2 linked regions of the Arabidopsis thaliana genome follow. The protein of the gene in region 2 purifies or fractionates together with the protein of the main gene of each other region. This does not show direct contact. Each region holds a gene or a part of one and is shown on either strand. Other genes may lie near its edges.

Region 1 (3,486 bases), on a different chromosome or scaffold from region 2:
CCTTTGTGTCGGCGTTTAATAACCAAGTTGGCAACTTGCAACATTTAACCAAGCTGGCACAACTTGCACCAACATCATCATCACCTTTGCCTTAATTAGAAGATCTTCGTCTTAAGTTTGCAAATAGGAAATTAAAAATAGTACTATACAAAATATAAAAGTGGCCTTTCGCTATTGTCTCGATCCAGCTGAAATTCGATAATAAAATATACAAATTGTTATAGTATCATATAATGGATTCCCCACATCAAATTTTGTAACAATAAATTATATAAAACATGATGGTGATATATTCAAGTCAAGTGGGACACTAGCCTGACTATAGTGCAAAAGGTAACCCGAATCTGAATGAAAAACGGCACACACTTTTAAAACCATCTTCGTTAAAACTTAAAACACTTCCACTTATGGTTTTTTTAGTCTTCTCTATCTCTTCCTTCACAATTTGTTTTATCGTTTTACCACTCTTAAAAAAGTTGTTGTTTGGTTAATAAATCGGGAGTTCATGTGTTACAAAGTTTTTTTTTTTTTTGGCAACCGATATGTTACAAAGTTTGTTCATGGGAAAAAAAACTAAAGTTTTGTTCATGGACATTATGTAAAAGTAATCGATAAAAAAGCGAAATCTATGAAAAGTAATTACAATTTCATACGAATCACACACTAAATCTACCATACTTAAAGCAATAACAGCAAAAAACACGTGAAAAAAATCTTATCCCCATGTTTTTTTAACAAAAGGAAAAGAAAAGGAAAACCTTTCTTTTTTTTTACATTCAAAGAAAAGTAAAACCTTACACGAATGGTTATTTACTTTTTTTTTTTTTGTGTCAAATAAACCTTTGGTAACTTTATAGTAAGTTTTTTTGTAACTTTTTATGAGAGTTTGTTGCATAGCCGAAAATTTTGACTTACTCGCCGGAATATACCTAACGAAAATGGAAAGATTCATAGTTATCCACAAACATAAAATGCCCAAAATAACCTTGCACGTCATTCTCATCATAAGAAAATGGTAAAAATATGACTATATGAGGTTAAAAAAGCAAAAACAGACAAAAGAAGAAGAGAATCTTATACGAAGCAACATAAATAACATTTCTGGATTTTGTTTTTAATAAAAGAAATTAAATCATATTTTTTTCTTCATTTTCACGTCACCTGAGAACCACTTCCGTCACCGGAGTTACGAGCCATAGCTTCAGCAACCGTCGCGAGTTTCTGCAAATTAAGCTTCACAACCGTATCAGCAAACATACGAGTATCATCCTCCGAGTTACCTTCCGGCATATCAACGACGTAAGATTCCAAAACCACCGTCCAGATCCGATTCTCTTTCTCGAACCGATGCACCGTCGTAACGGATTTGTAATTCGTCAGCCTATGTTCGCCTCCGATGATACTGAATCCGGTAACTCTCCGTTCGTCGTCGAGTATATCGAGTCTTTCCGTTGATGTGTTCGCCGGTAATCCACTGATGACGATCACGTCGCGCGTGCATCCGACGCGCATCTCGAAGTTTTGTTCGACGGAGCAGGATTTGATGAAGTGTTTGTATGTTTGTGGTTTGTCGAATCGTCGTACGATTGACCAGACGAGTTCCGGAGGCGCGTGGATTCGTTGCGCGTGGAGTGATGAACAGCTTCCTGGATCGAGTTGGTATGTGTGGAACTCGGCGATTGAGTTTTTTAGTTCCGATCGTTCTTCTGGTGTTAACTCCGAAGGCATGGTTGTAATTTGGATCTTTTTTTTTTTTTTGTGAAGTTTTTTTTGTTTTGTTTTATTTATCCAATTGGTTTGAGATTCACCATTGAAGACGACGACGAGCTTTTAGACTCTCTCTCTCTTTATTTAGCGTTGAAATCTCTCTGTGTTGGATTTTAGAGGGAAGATGAAGGGTAAACATGGAATTATATTAAATAGTAAGGGTAAAGTAAGAAATATATATACGTGAGAGTGGAAGGGTGTATAATGCAAAAAATGGAATCTGTTTATATTTAAAGAAAGATGACCTGGAGTTTCTGTTATAAACTATTGGATTTGTTACTTATTCAAGAGAATAAGTCTTATTTTCGTATAAGTTTCTTTTTTTTTAAAGAGTGTGGTGATTTTATTTTATTGTTTAAGAACTCATATTCGTAGGTTTTATTTGGTGAAAAAAATGAAATCTTAGAGATGAAAATTGTTTGTAGTTTTTTATTTTGTCATTTGAAATTATCAAAAACAATTTCATATTTTTATAAGTTTTGTTTATATGTTTCTTTAGTCGTTGAAAACAAATATACTCACGTTTCATTAATTCTTTTAGATATCATTTTGGTTGGGTATTATATTTAGTGACAAATCTAATGAATCTTTGACAAATCTACAATTTGCAACAATAAAATTATTTTTCTTTAACAATAAAATAAAAAGATTTTTTTATAACTAAAAATAAATATATATGCAAAGGAGTTGTGATTATTAAAAAAATAAATTAAGTGTCGTTAGCTCAATTGGTAAAGATTTTAGGCGAACCTTAGAGGTCGCCAGTTCGAGTGACGCTTGAGACGAAACTAATATTACATTATGTGGTTTCGGGTCTAGAGGGATTACGGACTTCGGTCCAGAACCTCCTGTTATTCAAAAATAAAATTAAAAAAATAAAAAAGAGAAATATATTATATTTAATAAACATTAAATAAATAACATTTTAAGAGGAGTTTTTAAAAAGATGATATAAAGATCAACTTTTTTGGACTTGATTCACACTTGTTCTTAAAAAAAAGTTGTAGGGAGAAAATTTTGGGAGAGAAACGGTGGAAGAGGACATCCGAGAGAGACCTTATTATACAGTACAAGATTTACTAGGAACAAACAAGTGGAGAGGAATCTTTTAGCAAGGTGGTAGGGAAGAGACTTCAAAGAGAAAACTCGCAGAGAAAATGCTCCGAGAACAGATTGATAAGAAAAAGGCATGAACAAGTTTGACAAGGAAGAGCCCTTCATAAGGATGCCATTTTAATTTTGAAGTTAAAAGTAGTAAAATTATTTTTAATATATTTATTACGCAAACACCTTGTTATTGAGTTTATAAGCACTTGTTGATTACTGAAAGAATCAAAGAATTGGTAACAAATTTACATGATATATACATTATGTAGGGAAGACAAGAAAGATTTCGAGTTTGAACTCAACAAATGGGTGGGGGCTGGAGCGCAAGCTGTGTTTAGTAAAAGTAGAGAATGATTAGTTTAGTCAAGCTTGCGTTTGGCTTAATCATAAAGAAAAGAATGTGACTAACTAACGATATCCAATCCACTTGGTCTATAAGTATATGTATACTAACAATTTTGTCGGAAATTGAGCTTAAACATTGTGTGAGACTTGTTGCGGGTATGGTGGGTCGTCGGAAAGGGAGCGGAGATGTGAACCGAATACTTCCGTCGATGGTTCCGGTTCAGTGCCACTGCCGCAACGCCGTAGGTCATGTATTTGCTGGTATTA
Region 2 (3,761 bases):
ACAGACATTTGTGTCAATTGTTCCTAAGCTCATAATTGGAACTATCAGAATCCCTAATAGTTCACAAAGAAGAGGCGAAAGATCATTGAGTCTACACAATTCACGCTAATAAGACAGGATATTTATGTAGATATCCAAATGTTTACACTTACTCCTCATGGAATTGCAAACTTTTTGGAATCAAACAAGAGAAAAAAAAAACGAAATGAGTTTATTACACAAGCCAGTTTGAGATTCTTTCATTGACCAGTTTTAAACTGCACCATAGTTCTAGTTTCTAACCATATGCACAAGGGACTAATAAAGATCGGATCGATATGATTTGACCTAAATACCCCTTGAACCCGGGACATCGATCCACTCGAGCTGTAGCTCAACCTCTCCACACTCCACGTGCTGGAGTCTAAGGAACATATTCTGGACAATCTTGCCTTGGTTCAACACAATGTGGCTTGATTCAGACAAACAATTTTTTCTGCTCGGCTCTATCTTCTTTATTATGGTCCCATTAGGAAGTCCTGGTCCGAGCTGATGGGCAAATTTAATAGCTTCAATAAATGGACCAATGTGGAACTCGGCTTCTCCCATCTTGTCATCCGCGGAGAGCAAGTCATAGTCATAAACCGTCTGCATCATAATTCCCACCGCTTATCATTCTGGTTCAGCTATCATGCTACAATATAATGTAAGGATTACTTACAAGTTTAATCGGGAGATTCGGATCAGTCACGGAAAGTGTCAAGTCGTCGTTCCACTCGGGGTTTACACTATGTTTCACCACGCGTGTTTTCAACTTCTGTATCACAATCACAAACAAAAGATTCAAGAACTAGCAAATGCTTTTGATTGATCTTAAGGTAAGTCAAAAGGCGACAACACAAGTTACAAATATTTCGTGGTGGAACCAGAAGAGATTGATGTTGACATCAAAAAATCAATGGCTTTTCACCAATATTCCAATGTTCATAAAGATCTCATGTGCAAAGGACCCACTAATATGAAACGAAGCAAAAGTCTACTTCTTCATTTACATGTATGCAAATTATAAACTATATAACTCAAACTCTATTCAGAGAAGGTATTAACTGGTTATTAATTTGGATTAGGTTAAGACAACTCATAACTAGTACTATTCAGACATATACCAAATCAAAAGTCAGAGACTTCACATTTAGCTTGTAAAGATTAGGTATAACTAAATATGTGATGTCAACCCTCAAAAACTGCCTCCAATCCATTATTGATAACCAAATTTTTAATCAAATTTCTAGTTAGTTTTGAGATCTACAAAAAGAATCAATAATCCACTGTCAAATTATAAAAGACCTCATTGAGTTTCACTACATAGACTCATCAATAATCTTATCTCTTTTATAATAAAAGTTTTACTACCGACCAACAGTTCAATAAACGCATCAGATTCTACTAGATGCATAACCAGATTTATTCTAAGATGCAAAACAGAATTGGCTAAAATGGAAGAGAATAAATTTTTGGTACCTGTTTACCGCAGTGAACGACGATGTAAGGATCACTGCTTGAGATGTCTCTAATGGCGAGATTCACACCTCTTTTCACATGAATTCGAAGAAGACCTACAAGATTCTCCATTGTTTGTTTTTCTTTTTGTTTTTTTCTCTCGTAGAAAGTTTGTTGGAGTGGGTGTGATGATGAGAGACTTGGAGAATTCGGACAGCTCTGATGAGGTTTTGTGACTTTTGTCTATTTTCTTATATAGATACGGAACTGATTTTATCTTCTTTATTTTTCCGAGGATGGATATATTGTAGACTTTTCTGCCTCGAGCCACCTCTGTCTCTTTTTTACTTTAATTGTTTACCATTTCTAAAAAGACATGTAAAACAAAATAGATTATTGGAAAACAAGAAATTAAGTGAACAATACAAAAATAATAATAGAGGAACACAAAAAATACAAAACAAACGTTGAGAAACCGAAGAGATTCTAACTAATTTTAATAATTTTTCTAAATCATATGCTTCATCCTTTTTATTAAATTGTGGAGGTTGAAGATGTTGTACTATATTTTTCTAAAGTTACAAATTCTTACAATCATTTGTTTCTTTTTCTTTTAATTTAAAATATTGTATTGTCCAAATTTGTCTTACTCGTTTTTAGAGAGTGTTATGTTAATTCATTAGCTGGTTAATTTTTTTTTTAATAAGAATTCTGACCTACTTTGCCTCTTAAAAATTTATGATTTTTTATATGATATGTTTTTGTTTTGTTGTTTGGTGTTTTTTCCTCTTATTTATTATAATTGAGTTGAGAAAAAAAAAACTAGTACTTTTAGTTTTGGATTAGATGGCAATAGGTCGTGTAAAGGTTTTTAGGGAATTTAAATGTTAGTTTGAATTAGAAAACCAAATGTTAAAACTGTATTATCCGGGGGAGGTGACGGATTAGTCAATTTCTATGGGTATTTTACCGACTATTTAAATAATTTTTGTCGTATTCAATTGACCAATACACTCAATTATTCGTCTCGATGATGCAGCTAATTAGAAAGTTAGTATTTAATTACGCAATTAATTTTTAATTACGGGCACATGTCACGCCAAATTTGGATTTGACCAGCAAATTAGAGTTTGAAGACTTTAATTCTTTTTTCCTTAACTATAAACAAAGGTCTGGTACGTATTTGATTTCCATCACCATAACTATAAACAAAGGAGTATGATTTTGTTGCGCGAAAATTTATTTTTTCTAGCCTTCCAAAATTTTCATGCAACTAACCAAAAGTGGCAGTGTAAATTGGTAATAAATCAGTATAATTAGAAACAATCATTGACTAAAAAACTATACACAATATTACAATATATTATGGACCAAAAGTTATTGTATTTTATAAGATTTCCAAAATTTCATGCAACTAATAAAATTAGGATTAATTATAGAAAAACCATAATAAAGTATGGTCTATTATGAATTTAGCCATATTCTCGAGTGATTATAAAGACGGATATTTTTGTTTTTTCTAAAATATTAATTTGCCTTTATTATTTTTTCTTCTTTAAAATTTTAATTGGGTCTTGAGATATAATTTTGACGAAAATGACTTAAGATTTGCTCATGATTCACAATCATATACTTTTCAGTTATTGCATACATGATTGTTCTGAGTTCTTTAGACATTATCTTTTACGGTTAAGATGATTCGATCCGCATCTATAATTAGAGAATTTGGGTTCTATAACATCATCTCTTAGAGCTTAGATATCTTACATCAAAACTTGTTTAATTAGTTCTATTGGATTCATCGAAAAAGGTTGGTCGTATAAACGTTGTGTGAATCATCGAAGCATAAGGAAACGATATTGATGGAGTCGAAAATAATGATTTTGATGGAATGTAGAGTCGGTGTTAATAAACAAATTTGATTATCACGACGGAGAGAATTGCAGTCGATGGAGACGGTGAGGGTTGTTGGTCTCATGACGGAAAAAACGAATTGGATTATCATCAACAAATTTGAAGGCGAAATCGTCATTTTGCGGACCAAACAGTACCCAAGCTTATAAGTCCAAGTAGAATATACTTCTATTCTAGTTTTTATGTCAAAATATGCCCATATGTACAAAAGGCTCAACAAAAATAGATCAATTTTAAGTTTAAAAAGTGCCTACACATTTGTGGTCTACTAGTGGTTGAGAATTGAAGAAATGTTGAAAGGAACTAATACATGTTCAATCCACCTAAGAAACAAAAAAAAAACATATTTGTATGAAAAGTATGAGTTT

What was found.
Region 1: the proteins of AT5G37740 (region 2) and PYR1 purify together in Arabidopsis thaliana (affinity purification with western blotting, with the first as the bait; one study listed by BioGRID). This does not show direct contact.

What each region holds. Positions count from the first base shown.
Region 1 is NC_003075.7:9,927,034-9,930,519, reverse strand, and holds PYR1 (Polyketide cyclase/dehydrase and lipid transport superfamily protein), read right to left. Parts: upstream 1,934-3,486; 5' UTR 1,729-1,933; coding exon 1,153-1,728; 3' UTR 645-1,152; downstream 1-644. UniProt on the Arabidopsis thaliana protein: Receptor for abscisic acid (ABA) required for ABA-mediated responses such as stomatal closure and germination inhibition. Inhibits the activity of group-A protein phosphatases type 2C (PP2Cs) when activated by ABA. Can be activated by both (-)-ABA and (+)-ABA.
Region 2 is NC_003076.8:14,989,998-14,993,758, reverse strand, and holds AT5G37740 (Calcium-dependent lipid-binding (CaLB domain) family protein), read right to left. Parts: upstream 1,711-3,761; 5' UTR 1,612-1,710; coding exon 1,501-1,611; intron 1,423-1,500; coding exon 1,393-1,422; intron 797-1,392; coding exon 701-796; intron 628-700; coding exon 328-627; 3' UTR 197-327; downstream 1-196. UniProt on the Arabidopsis thaliana protein: Stimulates the GTPase/ATPase activities of Obg-like ATPases. Mediates the transient calcium-dependent interaction of PYR/PYL/RCAR abscisic acid (ABA) receptors with the plasma membrane and thus regulates ABA sensitivity.